Tamandua tetradactyla: one gene and its partners. The protein of the gene in region 2 interacts with the protein of the main gene of each other region in a pairwise test. Links are inferred from orthologs where the notes say so. Each region holds a gene or a part of one and is shown on either strand. Other genes may lie near its edges.

Region 1 (7,226 bases), on a different chromosome or scaffold from region 2:
AAAGCCTTTCTGCTTCTCCAGTAACCCCTGGCAATCTTCTTCCACTCATTGCCTCCATCTCTCAGACCCTCCTGGTACCCTTGCCCCAGTCTCCATAGTGCCTAGCATGAAGCCTGGGCATTGCTGGATGAATGCAGCACCCCACGAAGATGTCATGCCCCCTCTCTGCTTCCTGTGTCTCCCCGAGTTGGTTCCACCTGGCTGGCTGGTGTGTCCTGAGGATGAGGTTCCTGTGAAGGAGGGAACGGAGGGCTGGCCAGGGTCGAGCACTCTCAGGGGCTACCTGTTGATGGGGAGGCAGGGTAGGTTGAGGCTCTCAGGGATTCACTGGAGCTGAGTGTCCACATTATCCCTGCTCCCAGCCATGGGTCCGACCCCACATATTGCTCACTCCTGATGGATAGTCTCTGGTGGGCTCAGGGTTAGAAGTAAAGTTGCTCAGCCCCATCCTCCTTCTACCCCAGTGCTCACCTTAGGAGCCTTCTGAGAACACCTCTGCAGCAGCTGCTCCTTGGTTAGGAAGCCAGGGCTGCCAGGTGTCTGAAACCAAGGTCAAAATGATAGGGTAGGCTCAGCCCCCTTTGCTCTGCTCCCACTGCCTCTGTTCTCCCAACTCCTGGGCAGGCCAGACACTCACCAGGTGCTCCTCATAAAGCAGCAGCAGCACCACTCGTGGCCCTGAGTGCCGAGCTGGCCAGTAGCCACCAGAGCCTCCTGCCTTGGGCTTGGCTGGAACCTGCCAGGTACAGAGGGCTCTGAACAGTGGCTCTGTGGGGACGCCTGGCAGGGCCAGAGGACTTGAGGTTTAGGTCGACCAAGTCACTCAGCTGCCTCTCAGTTTTATTTGCAAAACTAGTCAGATGACTGGATGATTCCCTGCAAAGCTGGGCTGGGACAGGGAATGGTTGTGGGGGACTGGAACTGCCTGATCCAGCCTCAGTTCTCCAGAACCGCTGCCCACGGTACAATCTCAGTAAAGGGCAACTCAGTAATGGCAACCTCAACGATGTACCGGGCTGGGCCCCCTATGAAGCTTGCTCATAGAACTTTCTGAAAGATTCCTGCCAATATCCCTGCCTACAGATGAGAAAACAAGTCTCAGAGAGGATATCACTTGCCGGAGGCCAGGCATCACTGATGGGGAGATTTGTCTCCAGGCCTGCTAAATGTCAAATATTCCTCAAAATCATCCATATCACCAGATAAACCTTATTTCTGGTGATCCCATCTTTCCTTCTGCTCCCCGGCCCCCTCCTCACCGACACAGAAGGATCCTGGGCTTCTGCAGGTGGCCCATCCTGGGCAGGGCTCTTTCTTCCAGGTGGTGAGCCCGGTTCATGGGCACCTGCGGAGCCAGACGAGAGTCATTCCTGGCATTCCCACAGGAATCCGGCAGCTGGGGAGGAGGCTGGGAGGGACTCTGCCACTGGCCAGAGATCAAGTAGCAACTGGGACAGGTGTGCGAGAGCTTGAAGCCCAGGTATCCGAGGTGGGCACAGAGGCTGCACCTGGGTGGGCGGCTGGAGACGACCACCCCCGGCCCCTGCGCTCACCGCCGGATGCTCGGTGCTGCTGCAGCCGCTCGTCAAGCATCCGGCACAGCCGGTCTCCGAAGTGCTGTAGGATCTTAGCTTCCTTCCCGCTGCGCAGGGGCAGTGGGTATCGCCGGAGGGAGCGCAGCGCCTGGCGGGGAGAAGTGGTGCGGTACCGGGTCAGGGCAGGCCTCCGCGTCCAGCCCGGCCAGCGTTGGTCCCCTTCGGGCCCGGCCGGGACCCACCTTCTGAAATACAAAGTGAGTGCGGCGCCCCCTGCTGGCGGCCTCGTCCCGCCACTCGGTCAGCCAGCGGACGAAGAGCGGGTTGGGACAAACCGGCAGTGGGCGCTTCCGGCCCAGGCGGACGCGCGCCGCCATGGGCGCCGCGGCAGGCCTCAAGCTCGCGGGACTGCGACGCCGCCCGCTCGGGAGAGAGATTCGAACACCTGGCTCCGAGGGGAGGCGGGCCTCTCCGATCACGTGGTCCCGCCCGCGAGACACTAACTCCGGGCTAGCCTCCCTTCCCCCTCCCCGCCCCTACACTTCTCTAAGTGGCTCCCGGCGCCATCTCCGCGGCTCAGCGCTCCGCTCGCTCCCACCGCCCAACTCGGCCTCGGCCCGCGCCCCACCCGGGCCCCGCGAGCCTCAGCCACGCCCCTCCGCCCACTTCCGCGTCCAGAGCCCGGGCGATTAGGGAAGATCCTCCGCGGGCGGGCGAAAGCAAGGCGGACAGCGCCCCCTGCGGCTGGCAGTGCGCGTTGCGGGCGCGCTTAACCGAGCTTTTCCGCCTCATCCTTGCAGAGCCTGGGCAGCCCGACTGGGCTTACGAGGAGTCCCGGAGAGGGATGGTGGGTGGGAGATGGGTGCACGTGTATTTGCGGGAGGAATATCTACGTGAGGATACAGGGGAGGGCACAGAGGGAAGGCAGGAGTTGCTGAAGGACCACCGGAGGAAATGGCGGTCAGGAGTTAGGGGTCGCAGGGCAGAGTGGGGACCGTGAAATCGGGGACTTGAAAAGAGGGCCGAAGCCAGACGGGCGGGATAAGGCCGAGGGCAGGTAGAAGGGGACTACAGGTAGGAGGTGCTGGTAGGTGGGGAGCCTGAGATGGGGTGCGCATGATTGGATCCGGGGTAGCAGGCTGCGGGTAAGAAGCCGAGACAGAGGGAGAAGGGGAGAACACTTTGGACGTTTTTGTGGCACATTGGAGGTGGGGCACCCCCAGGGGGTTTGAAGAACCGTGTAAAGGGGTTCAAGGTTGAGGGGCTGGGCTTAAGGGTCTCACTAGGGAGTTGGAGCAGACCCAGGCCTCGGGCTGATATGCCGGAAGTCGCTAGATGCAGATCTCCAGGCCCGCCCCTCGAGACCTCACCCAGTCCGCGACCCTGGTACCCCGAAACCGCTAGGGACGCCCGCCTCCCGCCAGAAGCGGCCTTATAAGGAGCCTGGAGCCGGCGTTCGGGCTGGTCCCACCCCCTCCAGTCTCCTGTCCTAATAAGGACATCTAGGGCATCCCGCGGCTGGGGGGTGGGCGGGAGCACGTCTCCAGGGTAACTACCAAGCCCGCCCCACTCCCCTCGCTGCGCTTGAAAACTGCGAAGCGCGAAAAAGGTGGGATCAACTTACCAGTCTGGCACGCGCCCTTGTGAAAGATGGGGTTCGAGCTGCGGCCTCCCCCTGGGGCTCCCGGGAGCTCGAGGGTGGGGGTGGGGGTGGGGGAGGTACAGCAGCAGATCCCGGACTACAAATCCCGGCATGTTCTGCGAGGTACCCCCACTCCCGGGCTTCGCGAAGACCCGGCTGCCTGCTCTCCGTTAACACCCGTTATTCGGCTTATGAGATCCACGCCCCCGGTCCCATTGCTGGGTTTGTCTCTGACTTGTTTGCAATCTTGCCTTTTCTTGCAGGGTGTGAGGTCATGGTCATTGTCCCGGTCAGCGAAGTCTTCCCGGAGCCCTTCACCCCAAACGGTTTATTTCGTTAGTTTCAGTTTTTGCGGGTATTAGTTTAATCATCTAACTGGCTATCAACTCGAGAACAGCAACTTGAACAGGAGTGGGGAGCTTGAAGTCAAGGTATCCGAGGTGGGCACGGAGATTCGAGTCAGGTTTAATATGTTTCCTTTCCTCTGTGTCTAGTAAAAGGCACGTAGAGAATCCTTGAATTGAATGCACAAATCCTTGCCCTCCCTTTTCATTGCCCCATGGATGAATGTCTGCCAAACATCTTTAAACAAGGACAAAGTCCTCCTTTCAAAGTTTTCCCTGTAGCCTGCCTGTCCCTTGTGTTTCTTTTCTCCTTTTTTTTTTTTTTTTAAAGTTGCGTATGGCCTTTTCTCGGGGGACAAGAGTGGCTGTGCACACGGAGGGTGCTGAGTGAATGCTGGATTGAAGGCCCTTGTACTTGTCATTTTCCTTGCTTTAGAACTGGATTCCAGTTCATGGATAATTGCTTCCATTCCGAAAAGCAAAATCCTAACCCCACTCAAACTGGCCAGACTGAGAGATCCAGAAAGTGCCAACATGGGTCTGAGGAAAATCGTTTGGCTTCGGGATAAAGAGCCGCCAAGTCGGGGCTCCTTTCCCTGTCAACCTTTACTTGCGGCGGCACAGATTGCTCAGGTCAGCGCGTTTCCTAGGAAACCACCAATGGGCGCGTTCTCCGTTCCCACTGCCCGCCTCCCGACCCCCTCCCCGCAACCTTGGACTACACTTTCCGGCATGCAGTGCGGGGCCGGAGGCCGGCTGTCGAGAAAGACCCCGCTACCAGCCGAGCCGGAGGACGGCGCAGGACCCTCGGACTTCATTTCCCGTCCGCCCGCGGGGAGGGGCGCCGGAAGCCCGCCCCGCCCCTCATTGTGCGGCTCATACTAAACGGAAGGGGTCGGGAGAGGCCGCGTTCAGTCGGATCTCGGCGGCAGCTGCAGCGGTTCTCATCTTCTCCGGTTCTCCTTGCTGTGTCCCTTTAGCATCCAGAAACATGGTGAGCGGCAGGCCTCAGCGCCCGAGGGGAGGCGGCTGCGGGCCGGTCGTCTGTGCGCACGGCAGGGGACGGGGAGCGACGTCGGCACCCCTCAGCCGGCGCCGCGGGCGGGACGAGGGTCTCGCGCTGAGGGGCGGGCGGCTCGGGGTGCGCGTGCGCGCCCGCGGGCGCCGAGGAGGGCCGGCTCGGACGTCGCTCGCGCGCCCCCTGGCCTCCCCTCCCCTCCCCCATCCCGCTGATGCGCCCGCGCGGACATCAGTCGTGGGGGGAGGGGTCCGGGTCGCGCGCGCGCCTGCCCCTCGCGATGCAGCCGGCGCGCGGCGGCGCGGACCGAAGCGAGTCGGTTCCCGTGGGGCGCGCGCTCGACCGGGGCATGCGGCGTTCAGAGCCCGGGGGCGGCGAGGGGAAGGCGCGCGAGCGTTTTGGGCACGTGCGCCCCACCCAAGGGCTGTTCGTGCCTCCGCGCCATCCTCCCTCGGCCGGCTAACGGGCCTGTCTGGAGAGCAGGTGGCAGGGATGCCCGGGAAGGGCGGGGGCGGCGCGGCTAAAGCGGGGATGCTGGGGCGGCGGAGAGCGGGTGGGAACCTGGTCGGGCTGGATTTGGGGCCTCCCCTCCAACGCCCGCGCACGGGAGCGAGCGAACCCGCAAAGCGATCCGGGTCCTCTGCTGGGTATACCCGGCACGGGCTGGAACGGCGCTGGCGGCCGGCGCGTGCGCACACGCTCGGGCCCGGCCGCGGGGGCCGAGGCCCTGGACAAGCGGGGCCATCGGCCTACCCAGATGGCCTGAGGGTGGAGCCGAGCCGAGGGAAATGACCCAGGCGGTTACCGCTTGAGAACACCCCGCCCACTGTGCTCGACCTGAGCTGTCCAACTTTCGTGCCGCAGGGGATAGGGTTTGAAATGCCCGTCGGGAAAAGCGGTGCTAAGGGTTAAGGGCCCGGAGGTGCTGCTGCCTCGGGCAAGGGTTTCTCTCTTGGGGAGGGCCAGGCCTAACCTATCTTCTCCCACTCCGGAAGCGGCTGCGTCACGTGGCCGGCTTCCTCTGCAGTTCCAGAGAGGGGAGTACAGATTTCACCGCGGACAGTCCCTGTCTTTCCTTACTGGGGCTTCCCCTAGGAGGACGTAGGGTAGAAGTTTAAAAAACTCTCTAGCACTCTGGGCTCTAGAGTTTGGGTTGTTAGCTTCTACCGATGATCTCTGAGGCCTTGCATCATCCCCCGGGGACAGAATTGTCCTGCAGAGCCCTCATTGGAAGATGTCATTCTTGTTTTAGTTGGGGGACAACTAAAACAATAATTTAGTGAATAATTTAGGTAATAACTGTATTGAGCAGTTGTGATGAACTGTTGGACACCGTGGTGTCCCGTCTAGCGTTTGGGGTTCTGGCTACCTGTTCCCTGAAGAGAAGACCCATGGCCTAGGTGTTTGGGTCCTCTTACCATCTCTGAGATATTCCAGGTCAGCACTTTTCTCACAAGCCAAGATTGAGTATTCTGAGTAGGAAACGCATTGGTAGCCTGTGGATTCGTTTTCATGCTGGGTTGGCATCTCAGCTGAGGTCCTGCTTGTCCCGCGTCATCAGTTTCCCTGCCTGTGAAACGCAGGGGGGTGTAGAACTATGTGATCCGAGGTCTTCTCCATGGCTGCCGTCCTGTGGTTGTCTCCCATGTCCCATCCAGTCCTTTGGCAGTGGCTTGTGTGGGGAAAATAATGACATTTGCCTTGGAGTGTGGGGTCATGGACTATACTGTGGCATCCAGACTTGGGGCCCTCTGAGAAGACAAGGGAGACTTTGGGGAGATTCCAGCCACCTGTTCTTAAGAGGCACATACTGCTTGTCTTCCAGGCCTCTGGCGTGGCTGTCTCTGATGGCGTCATCAAGGTGTTCAACGACATGAAGGTGCGCAAGTCGTCAACTCCAGAGGAGGTGAAGAAGCGCAAGAAGGCTGTGCTGTTCTGCCTGAGTGAGGACAAAAAGAACATCATCCTGGAAGAGGGCAAGGAGATCCTGGTGGGTGATGTGGGCCATACTGTCGACGACCCCTACACCACCTTTGTCAAGATGCTGCCAGACAAGGACTGCCGCTATGCCCTTTATGATGCGACCTATGAGACCAAGGAGAGCAAGAAGGAGGACCTGGTGTTTATTTTCTGGTGAGCTCCTCATTCAGGCACTTCTTCGTGTCACCTGTCCCAGCTTTGCCTTGTCCCCCTTTCTTAGGATGGTAATTTTTGTGACTCTTGGTATAACCTAGGGGTGTGTGCTTGTGGGGAGAGGGTTGTTGCAAAAACACTTCAGTGTCGGTGGGCAATGCCAAGGCTTGAATGCTTGAAAGCTGGTTAGATGGTTCTTCAGAGTCGTTTATTGAGGGTGGTTGCTGAGCTTGGAGAAGGGGCTTTGCCGTGAGCTCCCCGGCTGTGTTTCTTTCTAGGGCCCCTGAGTGTGCACCCCTCAAGAGCAAAATGATCTATGCTAGCTCCAAGGATGCCATCAAGAAGAAACTGACAGGTAAGGGCCATCACGGGTGCTGTTGTGTGCCTTTCAGCTTTGCTGTGTGCTAAGGTGACTGGCATGGGGGGCGGGGCCTCCTCTTCTCTTTCCTGCCTGTTGGAAGGTAACCTTGTTCCCACCATCTGCTCTGATTGGCTCCTTCCCAGCTGCAGGAACTCTTCTCCCCCACCCCAGAGCTTCCTGCTCACGGATGCTC
Region 2 (6,883 bases):
ATATGAAATAAACTTCTGGAGATGAGGCAAAGTCCTTCAAAATCACTAAAAAGTCTTCTCTAAAGCTGAATATTCTGCCATGCAAAGGAAGAATAAATAAATAGATGCAAATCGTCTTCAATTACAATTATTTTAAGAAAATCTCAAAGATATAAACAATAGACTCCCCCTATATTTTTATTCCATTCACATAGAGCTGTAAATAAGGTGCATTCCTTCTGCTTAAGAAATTAGCATTTCAAAAATATGCTACTTTCCCCCCCCCGAACTCCAAGCGTGTCTAATAATGCGAGAAGCAGATTGTCTTCCCTCGTTTCCTTAATTTGTTTCATCTAAAAGCAATTCACTCAACATCTTGTCGCCCTCTGGCAGCTTAGTTTACTTATCCGTACTTAATTTCTCATTTGGACCAAAACAAACTCCTCCAAACTGCTACTGACTGCTAACCGCGAGAGGGGAGACGCGCAATACTTTATTTACTAGGGCACATACGGCCACACACAAACGCAACCACAAACACACAGTGTGAACCTCAATCTCACTCCAGACAGTAGCTTGGTTTTACAATAGCACTATGTTAAAATCAGCTGAACTTTCCCTGCCAGGTGTGGTGGGGTGAGGGTGGGGGTAGATTAAAAAAAAAAATGTCCCAAGGGCATTTACAGTTTCCAGTGGATCACCCCAGCATGCGTGTCGCAATTATGCCAGGGATGCACCCGAGAGCGTTTCTTTGTGCGGCCCTTTCATCTTTATCACTTTGTGTTTTGAACAAGTGAGACTCGCCTTTGTGCCCCCAGAATTTCAAGTACAGAGTCACACACGGAACAACAATGGCACGCTAATCCTCGCGCTCTAAATGGGCTCACTTGTGGGTCTGACAATTCGCTCCGGGAAGCGAGAAGGGACGGGACCAGCTAGGGCGCGAGCCGGCGTCTCCTGAGACGAGGAAGAGGACAGCTGCAGAACTAATTTGGATTACATTCCTTGCAGAAATTCTGAAAAGGTTTTTTTCGGCATAGCTCAACCCGCGAGCCGCACAGTTGATGCCAAATCGCTGCGGACTCGGAGCCGGGTCCCCCCGCGGCTGAGGCTGAACCATGCAGCCCCCAGTAGGTTGCCTCGTAGAAATTCTTCTCAGCTAAGCCTGCATGTCAGTCAGTCGCAACAGTTTTTGAATGGGTCAATGTGCATAATCAACCCATTGAGGGGAAATATGAAGGGACTCGGAGCGAGGAGGGAGATAAAAAGGGATGTATCTAAGAGGCCGCTTGGAATCTCAAGTCCGTGTTGGTGTGTAATTCCGGAGGTGGCTGGAGCGCAGGACCTGGTATGCATGAAGAATTGCGGAGTAATTGGGAGGGTGCAAATGGCCAGCACAAACGGCGCACGTGTGCCATTCGAAGGTCATTCTGAAAGCCTCAGTGATTATAACTTGCTATTTACTAGGCAAGGAGGGGGAGGCGGGGGCGGAGCGGGAAAACTACAGAGCGCTGTTTTCTTGTTGAGGTCAGGAAGACACGCTCCAGAGGCCCAAAGCTTTCCCTATCGTCACCCCAGGTGGCTTTATCTCTTCAAGCCGCCTCCCACACGCTCGCGACCAGCCCCGGATGGATCCGGAAATCTCCCCGGCTCTCCAAAGCACCCCACTCCGCCTCCCACTTGGGCCAAGTCAGACACCGGTTCTCCTCAGTCCTTTCCTATCCCGCATTCATCCACAGGAAACTCAAGTGTCAGAAACTTTGAGCTCCCTCGCACTGCAGGTGCTATCAGAAGCTCTGCCCGCCCGGGAGCGCCAGCCCCACTGCGCTGCCTCGGGGGTCATTTAGGCGTTTGCCTGTCTAGGTACCCGGGGCTTAAGCTCCCCAGCAAACAGTGGTCGTGCACCCAGCGTAGTCCGCGCGCCCTCCGGGGGTTAAATCAATTCGCGCCACCGGCCGGCTCGACAGCCCAGTCGGGCTGTAAACAGAGAAGTTGGAGGGACTCCGGCCAACAGCAAGTTGAACTACAGGAAGAACTCTTCCCGGAGCCAAACGTAGCAACCGACCTGAAGTCCGGGCTCCAGACTCTAGCGTGCCAAGCCCTTTTTTTTTTTTTTTTTTTTAAAAAAAAAAGAGGTCAGGCTGGCAAGCAAGCGCCCCTCAACTCACTGGGGCCAGGGACTCCGGGACGCCGGCCGAAGAGGCCCAGGGTTCCCGCGCCTGGGCCGAGGCACGCCCGCCCGCTGCGCTCCAGCTGCCCAGTCCGGGTTCTAGCCGGGTCTGACCCGGGAAGGCTCGGGCGACTGGGGGCGCAGTGCCCACCGGCAGCACACACAGGTGCAAAGCTCGGCTCTCGAAGCTTCACTGTGCACTGCCCCGCGGCTCAGAAGCGGCCCGGCAAGCGCCCCGGGACCCCAGCCCCTCAGTCACTCCCACGCTGCGCGCTTCTCCTAGGCTTCTTGCCTCGAGGGCCAAGACGCGGACAGGAGAGTCTCCTCTGAATGAATTGGGGGTCTCCCACGTCCTCAACAACAGGCGCCACCAGAAGGGATCCCGTTTATGCACGAAAAAGAAAGGAGGGTGATAAAGGAAAGAGGAAAAAGAGAGACCGGGGCGCGCAGTGATTTTTCACGATAAATTACATACGCACACAAGGCAAGTTTGGGGATGGAAAGAGGGGTGACCGAGAGCCCAAAGAAGCGGCCACGGGCGGGTGGTCCCTCTACGCCTGGAAGCTGGCGGGTCTCGGGATGCGCGGAGAGAGCTAGGGAGCCGCCGGAGGCAGCCAAGCCGGCGGCAGCAGGTTCAACAGCTGGAGCGCGAAAAGAACGAACCGCGACCCACCTGATTGGGAAGCGCTGGGCTGGACGGTCCCCGCCGCCACGAAAAGGCTCACCCAGACCCACAGTCTTGTCGCCGCCAGCTTCATTTTTGTAAGTCTCAGATCCCGTGCTGACAATTACATGTCCAAATGGCATATCCCCTCTCTGGGGCGCGAAGGAGATCCCTTAGCCCGACGCGCGTGGGGGCCCGAGCGGGGCTGGCTGGCGGCGCGCGCGCTGCGCGGGCTGCGAGGGCCGGCGAGGGAGTCCTTGCGCGCGCGGGTCCCGGGCGGGGACCCGGGGGGGGCGTGAGGATGTGCGCGTGCTGCTCCGGGTCGGACTGTGCAGCTATTTTCCCGTGTGAGCCTTCGCTTTCTCGCTCCCTCCTCACTTTCTCTCTCGCGCTGGTTGGTCAACAATAAAAAGGAAGGGGGGAATAAAAGGTTTCCAAAAAAAGTTGATTGCAAAGAGGCGGTAGGTTTCCGGTCTCTCTCCCCACCAGCCGGGCTACGTTCGGCTCCTTTTTCTGCTTCCCTGCACCTCCAGTCCAAATCGGGAGGGAAGGGGCGGAGAGGGGGGAAGCGTCTTGCTTCACCCTCGATCCTGTCCTTTTTTCTCTCAGCTTTCCTCACACTTGTCCGGCGGCTGCGGTAATTAAAGCTCCGAGCGTCATTTCCAACGCTCGGCAGTCTCCAGCTGCAGCCCCTCAGAGAAATTAATAAGACTCCCGGAAAAAAAAAAAACAAGAAAAAAAAAAAAACCCTCCACGCAACCAGGCCGGCACTGCTCAGCAGTTCAAACCCCGCCCCTGCTCTGACCCAACTAGCCACGCCCTTTCTCCCGCCCCCCCACGGGGAACTCTTATTGGCTCAGCCACTCCCCAAAATCCTCAGCCTCGGGAGTTCGGGAAAACACCTGTCAGCAAAAGGGAGTAGATGGTGGGGCGGGGGAAGACGAACGTAAAGGGCTTACCCGAGGCCACTGACTGAAACATTCCCCTTCTCTCCCCCAGCAGACACCAGGGACAGCTGGCCCGCGGAGTGGCAGACAACGGAGCCTGTTTTTTGGTTTTCTTTTATTTTTTTAAAGATGTCACCATTTTCACCATTGCCCTAAGGTACTCATCCACAGACCGCACCTTCGCTAGAATAGAAGCAAAATCAGCATGTCTTGGGGGCAAAACTGCCTCTCCCTCCCCTCGGTATGATAACTGGGAATCAACACAGATTAGGTAGTCCTGGGGTGTTATCATCCCTGTTCCCCGACTATGACTATGCAGCCTCTCCCACCCAAGGTAACTGACACTGAGCAAAACAGATTTGTAGAAGCACTTTCTTTGAATTTTAAACTTTAGGGGTCTTTTTAGCTTTTCCCTGTACTCTAGGACAACTTGGTTTGGGTTCATTTTCATTATGCAGATTCTATTCCAAAGCTATTGATTTAGCCCTAATGGACTAGAAATTGTCCTAGGCCTGAACTATTCAGCCTGAAAGGATTTAAGAAGACCATGCCAAGATATAACTGACCCAGGTTTAAGTTCCTTCCTTGTTCACACTGAAAATGTGCACTCCTCAGATCAGCGCTGGCTATGGCAGTCTCTGGGCTTCTCTGGATCTGAAATATCTTGGGACCAGGTCATAGCAGGCTACGTATCCGTTGCCTTATGCAGCTCTGGAACTGTATCCTGAATAGGGTCCAGAACCTCCTGGGGGTAGTAGGTTATTGGTTTGCTATTTGCACAGGCATTCTATGAATTATATTCCCTTTTTTTCTTTTTTTTTTTTTTTTTTTTGGTTTCTCTAGGGACAGCAAATATACAAATAAATAGTATCTGGAGAGCCTAAAAATCAGCCTCCCTCCCTCTTCACTCATCATTCGAGACCTCCTCCATACCTTTTATCTATAGTCAAGCCCATTAAGAAGCTCCATGGAGCTAAGAACAGACAGGAACAGTAGCAGCGACCCAGAAGTCCGAACCCTTTTCTCTCTTAGGCCCACAGCAAATAGGAAGCCTTGAGAAGAGGCTCAGAAGCAGCCCAGGATGAGCAGAAGCTAAGCTGAGAGCAGATGATGGTGATTTGCCCAGAATGGTATAGATTGCAGCAAAACTGTGCTCACTGCTGGTATGGATCATCTTTGATTTCTATTTCTTTTACCCCCCTTCTATTTTTTTATTCTTTCTTTCAAGCTCTTCTCAGTCCTTTTTTCTTAAATCCTCTTCTGATTTTTATGATGACTCTCAGACACCTCTCCTCTGTGAAAGTTACTTTCTAAAATTCCCATTTTGTCCCTAGGATAAAAACTTAAGTGACAAAAACAAACAAGCTTCTTGCTTTTGGAAATGTTTAAATCTCTGTGTTTAAAAAAAAAAAAAAGTCTTGTTTCTGATGCTAATTCTGTTGCAAGATATTAATTTTGTATTTTAACTTAAATTGTGGGAAAAATTAAATAGTCTGAATGTTTTGGAGTTTTTGTTTGTTTTTTACTTGTGTTCCTTCTGATAGTTTTCCTTCCCTATCAATTTTATAGCTCTTTTGTGACAGAAACTCTCTTGTATGTCTTGGTCTCATCCATACCTTCCAGAATAACTCTTGGCAAATGAGGGTTTTTAACTAATGTTTATTGATTGGGAAAAAAACTTTGTCTATGTTTGTGGGTACTAGACAGCCCATAAAAGATGTCTACCAGTTAAAATACCTAACACACCATGATTTGCCTCTACTACTCGGTTTCTTCTGCTTTGGCTCCATTTTCCTGTCTCTGATTGAAATAATGATTGGTAACTTGCCAAAAGTGAGTATTTGAACAGCAGCTTATAAAATGATTTGGAATGAGAGCTCTACTCAATAGAAGCATCCTGGTGCCTGCTCTACCAATCAGAGTCTAGTTCAAATAATTTCAATGTGAGATTTAAAGATGTAGACAGGAAAATGGTACTGTGTGGGGGCAAGTTGGAAAGATGAGAAAGTAGAAACCATGAGGAAGAATCATGTGTGTCTCTCTCATTTGTGTCCAATCTCAACGGAATCTTCGTAAGAAAGGCCCTCCAGATTCGGAAACACTTACTACCTGATGTGGAAAGAAGGATATACTGGCTGGACTGTTGTACGCTTGCTGAGATGGGCTCTCTGTAATTCTTCACTTTTCTCTGTATCTTTATAATTTATTCCCATTAACTGAGTTAACTAAAATGTGTTGCTGTTGTTTGCTACCTGGGGAAAAACAAAAGAAAATACAAGACTAACCAGCATGTATGTATGTATAAGCACTTCATAAATAACAGATGATCACTTGGAGTTGTCTGCTATACCCTTTTCTAGGAATTACCCTACCTTAGTTCTACATTTTTAAATTGGATCTACCTCCATTGAACAACCTTGCCTTCACTGCCAAGTTATAAGTTGGACCAATCAAAGCACTTGGTCACTGTTAACTGAGTGACAAATGTTCACTGGCCCTGAGTCCCTTCCCTGAGAAATAGCTCGTAGTCTTTCACTGATAGCTTTAGAAATTAAAAAAAAAACAACTCTGAAACTGGCTTGGCTATGTTTCCTTCTACACAGGCATTACCAGGCTGCAGTGGAAAGAATGAAGCTGCCATTTGGAAGGTACAAAACCCAGATGGGTCCAAAGAGGATTCTTCTTGTGGCTAGTTGTTCAAGTTCCCATTTTCCTTAAGTTACTTCAATTTTTGTTTTGTTCCCTGAAACAAGAACAGTGTGAAATGGGAAAAGAATTTCTCCAACTTGAATGGGATCATATAGGCAGCCTGCCCCTTGAGAAAGACATCTTGATGTAGTCCATATTCTTGAGTTCCTTTTCCCATTTTTTTTCATGATTTCCCTTGTATGAAGTGTAATCCCAACATTAAAATGGCTTTGTCCTATAATGCTTTCCCATATCTCCCTTTCTGCCTCATTTCTTCCATTAATGATAGCTTTCTGAGTAAGTTCTGATGTCATGAGTAACAGAAGGCTGCTGGTGGGAGAAAAGAATACAATGAACTCAAAGTTCAATCTGATCCTTAACTTTGTCCCCAATTTTCCTAATTCATTCTACTCATCAGCCTGATTCTGAAACCTC
Region 3 (7,793 bases), on a different chromosome or scaffold from region 2:
CTGGGGCCTCGCCCACACGGTCCCTCCGCCACGCCTCTGTCGGCCAATGAATGAGGCCGTTTGCCAAACTGCCCCGCCCCCGGCTTCTTCGCTTTGCCCAATAAGGACCACCCCGAGGGTTTAACCTCTTCGCATCCGGGGCTCTGGCCAAATACCCCTGGTCTTTTCCCCACTTTTCCCCCTCCCCCATTTGTTCTGCCCCACCCTCCGCCAGCCTCGTCCAGCCCTCAAGCCAGCCACGCAACTTCAGTCGTCGCCGGTTACCATGGCAACGGCGGCAGCAGCGCGGGGAGAAGGGGGCAGGGACGGGGGCGGAGTGGGAGAAAGAGATGCCGAGATCGAAATGCCGGTAGAAATAGAGGCAAGGAGTTAGACCCAGTGAAAGCTGTACAGGCAGAGTTTGCACAAAACATGGGCCTGGCACATAGTAGGCATCCAATATAGGTTCCCTAAATTACTGCGGCAGGAGCCTAAATATAGGCAAGGAAAGATGGAGGTCTCTCAGACAATGCTGGGAGCTCAACGACCGCAAGCAGCCTGAGCGCTCCTTACCCCACCCAGCATTTTAAGGGGGGGGCAGGAGCTGTGTGCCCCCTGCTGGCTCCCTCTGGGCTACCCTCTGCTGCCCTGGATAGAGGCTGAACCACAACTCCCAAAAGCTCCGCGAGCAGCAATCTTCTAATATTGAGGGAGCTTCTGTCTCAGTGCCTTATGGGAGTTGGAGTCCTCGCTATGGCGAGGCAGACAAGTTTTCCGGCCAAGGAATGTGGCAAGACCGGGTCTTCACGTCTCTGTAAGACCCCAAATGCAGGACCCTCTCTGCATAAGCCTTCTCCTGGGGATACCCAACCTCGCGCTCCATCAGGGAAGTAGGAATCTGTAGGGGGATGAATAAGCCCCCCTGAGGATAGCTGCCAGAGCAGGCAAGCCCCTCACCCTCACTCGTTTGTGAGTTTAAGTGTTGGAAGCAGAGCCCACAGATTCCAATGGGTTTCCTGTACACAGGGAACCAGAGCCAGAGAGCCTAAGGCCAAGGGCAGGAAACAGGAGGAGCAGAGGATCAGACAGACATCAAAGGAGGCTGGGCCAGAGCAACTGAGGAACAACGATCCACTAAAACTACCCAGAGGAGGAGGGAAGCAGCCTGATATTTGGGGGTGGCCCAGGCAGGTAGGCCACAGAATAAAGGACAAGGAAGTAACCCTGGGAGGGGTTAGGGGTTCCAGGACCAAAGGGCCTCAACCCCCTCAATCTGTTCCATCCATGCTCACACGTGCACAACGCATGTGTACACACATGTGTGAGTTTGTGGCAGGGAACATGTGTGTCCTCAGCTTCCTCCCCTGAGAAGCTGCAGTTCCCACTAAATATAACCCCCTCCCCAGCCTGTGACTCACCCGGACCCCGCCCCCCCCGGCCCCCACTTCCTGTCCCACCCCCCAGCCCCCAGCTGCCTGCCATCCGCCCAAGCTTCCCTCCACACTCCAGGCATCCAGCTCTCCAGTCCCAGAGTCTCCCAGCAAAGACCCAGGTATTCTGCATCCCACCAGAAGCTGGCTTGAGTTCCCATCCAAGATTTCCTGCCTGTCCCAGGCTCCAATCACAGGGACAACAGATTCTGGCTGCTGCCAGCCCTGCCTTCCTCCTCCTCCTTTTCACCCCGGAAACCTAGGTCATAAATCTTAGGGACCCTTACATCCAGGTGTCCTCCCCCCACCCCACCTGGGTCCCAAGCTTCAGGAGTAGCAGAAGCCTCCTCCTCCATCTGCTCTTCTCCCCTTTCAGGGGTGGATGCAGTGTGGGAGGAGATGGGGAGATTGGGTACCTGCCTGGGCCACCCCCAAATTTCACACTGTCTACCTGGTCTCCCTCCTCAAATCCCTTCTCTCGAAATCTCTCGCCTCCTCAGGAGCTGGCAACCTCAGCTGCTGCAACCTGCCACCTCCCATGGGGGTACCCCAAATCCTAGCCTCACCTAGTCCACCCTCAGGTGTTGGGCACCAGCCCTCTGACAACTCTCAACTATTCCCATACCATATGATTGAACCCCCAGATTAGCAGTTCCCTCAAATTGAGGATGTACCCCCCAAAAAATATATTTACCACAAGATGCTTGTTCTATAGCCTGAAGGCCCACCCCTTCCCTGCCAGCTGACACCCCCAAACCAGTCAGGCACTCACAATCAATAACCTTCTACCCCCACACACAAGAACCCCTCAAATTGGACAAGGAACCTGGAAACCAGTTTGGACCCCAGGAGGGAAGAAGACAACCACCTCCACTTAGCCCACCTTCCAACATAACAAGCAGGACTACCATGTGAGCCAGGCTTCTCCTTCAATAAGTCTCCCTCAAACATAGCTGGTGAACCCCCAAACCCACAAGAGCCCCCAAACCATAGAACACCCCCAAATTTCAATTCCTCTACAGGTTCAAAGGGATCACTCCAGGGGGCACCTGTGGCCAAACCCAGCCTTTTCTGAGATGTGCACCCCAAAACTAAATGATGACCCCTAAATACATTTATTTCTGATGCTCGCACTCCAGAGCCCCCAGTCCCAGATTAGGCCTGCCTGCCCCCCCACGAACTCATACCCACCCCACCCGCGTTGATGGCCCCCCTCCATCACGCTTACCTTGGTTGTCACTATACAGAGACAGTCCATGTTGGGGGGCCTGGCCGCGGCGGCGGGTAAGGGGCTCTGACTTCATCGGAGTTTCGTTCCTCCCCTCCTCAGGTTCTCACCCCTCCCCCCTCCGCACCCCACTTTTGCAGGGGGGGCCAGGATGGGGGGAGGGGTGAGAGGGGAAGGAGAGGGTTGGAAAAGGGAAGAGGAGGGGAGCGTGGGAGGGAGGGAAAGGGGGCCCTAAAAGGGGGACCCCAATGAAGGGGAGGGGGCTTGGGGAGCACACCCCGATTTTCAGGAGGGGCAGGGGCACCGGGGGCTGGCAGCCCCGGGGTTCGGGAGCTGGGGCATGAGATGGGATGGGGGAGGGGAACTGGATTTGGGGGAGCCCTGGGGGTGGGGGGGTCTTGCCTAAAGGCCAGGGGCTAAGGGCCGTGGCGGGGGAGTGGGGTGGGGGGGTTGGAGGCGGCAGCGGCTGAGGGAGCCGTGGAGCCGAGGAGGGAAGGGGAGAGAGGAGGAGAGAGGAAGCAGGGGGAGGGAGGGAGGGAGCGAGGAGCGAGATTGTGGGGGGGTGCCTTGGTAGAGTTAACTCCTTCAATGCCGGCAGGAACCCGGATAATGGGAAGGGAGATGGAAGCAGAAGCGGAGAGGCCCTGAGGCAAACATGGAGACTTGGGGCCACCAGCGCGGCAGCAAAGACAATGAAGGCGGATTTCATTTCTTAGGGGAGGAAGCACCCATGGTTGGGGCTGGGAGCACCCATGATGGAATAAATCATGGAGGGAGGCCACGGTGGGGGGTAGGGTGTGAGGGAGGGGCTGGCAGGAGGGAATCCCTGGGGAACTGCTTCTAACTTGGGGTTCCCAGAAGGAAGCCTGAAAAGTAATTATGTCCTGGACTCTCCTGTCTGAAATTGGGGCAGGCAGAGGAAAGGGAGAAGGACAGGCAAGAGCACATTCTCAGGAGTCCCCAAGCCCCTAAGCCCCTGACTCAGGGTTCCCTTATTGGGACCCCCACCCCCACCCCATCTTCAGTTAAATATTAATCCTTTCCTGACCCCTCTAATCCTGCCAGCTCCCTCTGCAAGACAGGCCACTGCCCCCTGCTGCTGCCCCCTTACCTGACTCTCTGAGATGGAGGCCTCATAATAGTCCAGGATGTCTGTCACAGGAACAGAGCTGAGTTACATCCCCCACCTGGCCTCTGCCTCTCCTGTCACCACCGCTGTCTAGAAGGCCAGAGCCCCTCCAGCAGGCTCCAGGGTCCCAACCAGCCTTTTCCACAACTAACCCCTAGAAAATTGGGGTTACTCACCCAGCAAGGCCTGGAAGAGGTCACTGTGCAGCACCGCAAGGAGTGGGGGTGCCCACCGCAATAGTGGGGGGGCCAGGAGCCACAGAGCTGATCTGGGGGCTAGAGAAATGGAGGTGAGGGAAGAATCGGGCCAGGAAGAGGTAAGCCGGAGACACTTACAGGAACACTACCCTTTGCCTTTTTACCCCAGACCCTGCAGAAAGATTCAGGACAAGAATCTGGGACTCTCAGCACCATGTTCCCCCACCTCTGCTCCCAGGCCACCCCTCCAAAGGAGCTCCGTCTTTCACCTCTTGGTCTCTCAGACATCTCTCCCTTCTCTCATTTTAATCTCCCTAATCCCCCAGGATTAAATTGAGCTGCCTTCTCTCCACCCAGTTTTAACTGTTGGGGAAAGGAGACATCTCTGACTGACTTGCCCTGCTGCTCCATCCTTCCCAGATCCCACGGCCACCCCCTTTCTCCACATTCCCTGGCCTCTTTTCCCAAATTTAGCTGCTCTCCTGTGGGGCTTGGAGAGAGAATTTCCCTACACAGAGGTTCCTGCAGCACAAAGGTAAGGAAGTTGAGCTCAGCTCTATCCTCCTGGGCCCTTTCCCCAATGGAACTGCAGAAGTGGAATATAAATTACCTGAGACTTTTTGACCCAGGGCTGGGTCAGCACACAGGGAAGTATGGGAGAGAGAGGGGATGAGTATTCCTATAGCTCTTTTCAGGCAGAAAAATCCATCTGCCCAGAGGTCTAGCCTGGACCCAATGATCCTGGAAGGAGCAGAGGGCAAAAAGAGATGGATGACCAGGAAGGCCTTAGAGGCCATAGGGGGAGGCAGTGAACACAGGGTGCTGGAGTGCCATCTATTGTGAAATTTTCGGTGCTTCGAGTGTCACTTCCTACGTCTCAAGAGGATAGTTTGAGACCCCACCCAACCATTCCCTTCCCTTTGGTTGTGGTTGAAATTGATGGATTTCTTTCGGGGCTGAAAAGTCATCTTTCCATGTGTCTGCCTCTAGAGTTCACCTTACACTTCTGTCTTTCAATTTCTCCCTTCTAATGCTACGTGGGAAGTCCTCCCTTCAGTCTACCTTCAATCCCTCTGGCTGCAGTCGCCTCAGCTCCTCCCTCTTCCGTCCCATCCTATCTCATCATCCCTCCCGAGGAGGGCTAGCCTCTCATTTGGACAGGCTGGATAAGGGAGTTTGAAGGGACAAATGACGCTTGGAGATCACTCCAGGTCAACCAGGATGCAGGGCCTGGGGGCGCTCCGGGACTACGACTCCCGGCATGCCCGGCGCCGGGAAGCCCCGCCCGCCCGCCTCCCGGTGCATTGTGGAGGATGCGTCAAGTGGAAGGGACCCGGCTGCGGGAGGCGGGGCGAAAGCGTTAGGTCAGCTCCAGGCAGCCGGGGCCTCAGCAGCGCGGAGATGCAGGGGGCAAGGATAGCCCCAAGCGTGGGGCGGCAGCTACTCCTGTTAGGAGGCGGCAGGTATGTGTATGACAGCAGGGGACGGGGAGCGGGGGGGCCCAGGGGCGGGCCTGAACTCCCATTTCCCTCAGCTCGCGGTGCAGCGCGCTCCTGGGGCAGCCCAAACCGGGCCCTGCCCTCCGACCCTACGCCAGTGGAGCCACCCAGGTGAGAGACGACGGACGTGGGAGAGAGGTGTGGGAGTCGGGATTCGCCTCGGGGCCCCACGGTCAGTAGGGCTCACCCTTTATGCCCCAGACACCTGTTCTGCAGGCTGGCACCGGAAGTAGGGGAAAGGGCAGGAGATGGAACTAGGGGAAAGGTGACCGGATCTGCCCTCCTTGACACACCGGAAGCCCCTTCCCCGACCTCGCTAACCATTCCTTTTCCCAGGCGGTTCTGGATAAGTCAGATTCCCTTCCTGAGGTACCCACCAAAGAGAAACAACTCCACACGGTATGTGTTCCAAGGCCCGTGGGAACTGAGTTGGGAAAGAGCCGTCCCACACAATTTCCTGAAACTCTCTTTTCCCTGAACAGGAATCTAAGTCCTTTGCTGTGGGGATGTTTAAGGGCCATCTCACCACGGACCAAGTGTTCCCATACCCATCTGGTAAGGGAATGGCTATTCAGAGGTGGGGAGGGGTAGGGCATTCCCCTGACAGCCCTGTCTTACCTGCATTTCCTCTTCCTGCCCTTACACAGTGCTCACTGAGGAGCAGACACAGTTTCTCAAGGAGCTTGTGGGGCCAGTGTCCCGCTTCTTCCAAGTAAGGAATGACTGAAGCTGAGGGATGGAGGGCTTAGACCCTAGGGTGTTGGGGGGCAGGGCTAAGGAATTTAAAAGGAGTCTGGATGTGGGATCCGGAGACTTCTTTCCCAGGAGGTGAATGATCCAGCCAAGAATGACGCTCTGGAGCAGGTGGAGGAGACTACTTTGCAGGGCCTTAAGGAGCTGGGGGCCTTTGGTCTGCAAGTGCCCAGTGAGTTGGGCGGTGTGGGCCTCTGCAATACCCAGGTGAGGAGAGCCCCCGAGTCACTTTCCAAACCACTCCAGCTTGGCAGTCAGCCCCTTCTTCACCTCTAGGGTTCATTCCTGACCAGACTACTGCCCCGGGAGCCTGTGGGATGCTGACTCTCCCCACCGTGCACACACATCCTCAAACTTAACACACTGACTACAGGTGCCCTTGCCTGCAGCCACAGACCCTACCCTGGTTTCCGAGTTTAAGTGAATCTGTCAGGTGGGACCACTTGGCAAAAGGAGAGCAGGAAGTCCCCCTCCCACCAAGACTGGGGTGGACACAGTGCCCTCTGTTGTGCCCTTCTCACAGTTGACCTTGCTCTCTGCATTGGCTCTGTGGGGATGGCCCAGGTTGGGCCCCACCCCAGCCCCACACCTGCCTACCCTCCCACCCACCCCCACAGTACGCGCGCCTAGTGGAGATTGTGGGAATGCATGACCTCGGCGTGGGCATCACTCTGGGGGCCCATCAGAGCATCGGTTTCAAAGGCATCCTGCTCTTTGGCACAAAGGCCCAGAAAGAAAAATACCTCCCCAAACTGGCATCTGGTGAGGCAGTCCTGGGAGACCCGGGGGCTTGGGGGTGTCCTGGGTTTGGCACCAGTTAGGCCGGCGGGTGCTGAGATTACTGGCAAAGCTGGGGACCTAAGTTGCAGGAGAGTCTGGGGTAACGAAAGGAAACTGAATATTGCCCAAGGCATTAAGGGAGACCAGTAGGAGGGGCTGGGGGACACTGAGGGGACTTCACTACCCATGATGACCCTCAGTAAATCTCTCTCCCCAACTAGGGGAGACTATCGCTGCTTTCTGCCTCACTGAGCCCTCAAGTGGATCAGATGCTGCCTCCATCCGAACCTCAGCTGTGCCAAGCCCCTGTGGAAAATACTATACCCTCAATGGAAGCAAGATTTGGATCAGGCAATCTTCCTCCCATTTCTCTCCTCTCCACCCCTCCCTGATTTCAGACCCCATAGCTCTCAATTAGCCTCACCCTGACTGCCCTCCTCATCCTTCCACAGCAACGGGGGTCTAGCCGAAATCTTCACCGTTTTTGCCAAAACACCAATTACAGATGCATCCACAGGGACCACAAAAGAGAAGATCACAGCTTTTGTGGTGGAGAGGAGCTTTGGGGGCATTACCCAGTGAGTGGATTTGGGAAGAGGTAGGGCGTGGAGGGAGGGTCCTGCTGCACTCCAGGGCTGATGACTGTTGTGTCACCCTGGGGATGTGTGCAGAAACCAAAGCAGCTTCCCTGTGGGACAAATACGTATGTAGTTGACCAAAAGCCTTGGCTCCTGGCAACCAGGGGGCCAAACACATGATGGCAGAATGCAGCCAAGCTCTGCAGCCCTTTGGGCATGT

What was found. The genes of interacting proteins can lie anywhere in the genome.
Region 1: the proteins of ERBB4 (region 2) and CFL1 interact in a protein complementation assay, tested with the Homo sapiens proteins (2 studies listed by BioGRID and IntAct, with this or other methods). The link is inferred for Tamandua tetradactyla from reciprocal best matches to the Homo sapiens genes ERBB4 and CFL1.
Region 3: the proteins of ERBB4 (region 2) and DLG4 interact in binary tests that used the Homo sapiens proteins (3 or more experiments, as listed by UniProt). The link is inferred for Tamandua tetradactyla from reciprocal best matches to the Homo sapiens genes ERBB4 and DLG4.

What each region holds. Positions count from the first base shown.
Region 1 is NC_135335.1:8,665,980-8,673,205, forward strand, and holds the start of CFL1 (cofilin-1), read left to right. Parts: upstream 1-4,224; 5' UTR 4,225-4,512; coding exon 4,513-4,515; exon of another isoform or gene 4,516-4,602; intron 4,603-4,921; exon of another isoform or gene 4,922-5,022; intron 5,023-5,957; coding exon of another isoform or gene 5,958-6,053; exon of another isoform or gene 6,054-6,364; coding exon 6,365-6,672; intron 6,673-6,950; coding exon 6,951-7,027; intron 7,028-7,226. Other genes in the region: structure-specific endonuclease subunit MUS81, read right to left, coding at 198-283, 472-540, 638-736, 1,260-1,345, 1,554-1,683, 1,778-1,912.
Region 2 is NC_135329.1:187,876,072-187,882,954, forward strand, and holds the start of ERBB4 (receptor tyrosine-protein kinase erbB-4), read right to left. Parts: upstream 3,014-6,883; 5' UTR 2,908-3,013; coding exon 2,823-2,907; intron 1-2,822. UniProt on the Homo sapiens protein: Tyrosine-protein kinase that plays an essential role as cell surface receptor for neuregulins and EGF family members and regulates development of the heart, the central nervous system and the mammary gland, gene transcription, cell proliferation, differentiation, migration and apoptosis.
Region 3 is NC_135332.1:61,085,241-61,093,033, forward strand, and holds the start of DLG4 (disks large homolog 4), read right to left. Parts: upstream 3,003-7,793; 5' UTR 2,668-3,002; coding exon 2,638-2,667; intron 1-2,637. Other genes in the region: ACADVL (very long-chain specific acyl-CoA dehydrogenase, mitochondrial), read left to right, coding at 5,365-5,426, 5,498-5,573, 5,799-5,861, 5,945-6,017, 6,110-6,174, 6,252-6,422, 6,833-6,977, 7,217-7,346 and 1 more. UniProt on the Homo sapiens protein: Postsynaptic scaffolding protein that plays a critical role in synaptogenesis and synaptic plasticity by providing a platform for the postsynaptic clustering of crucial synaptic proteins.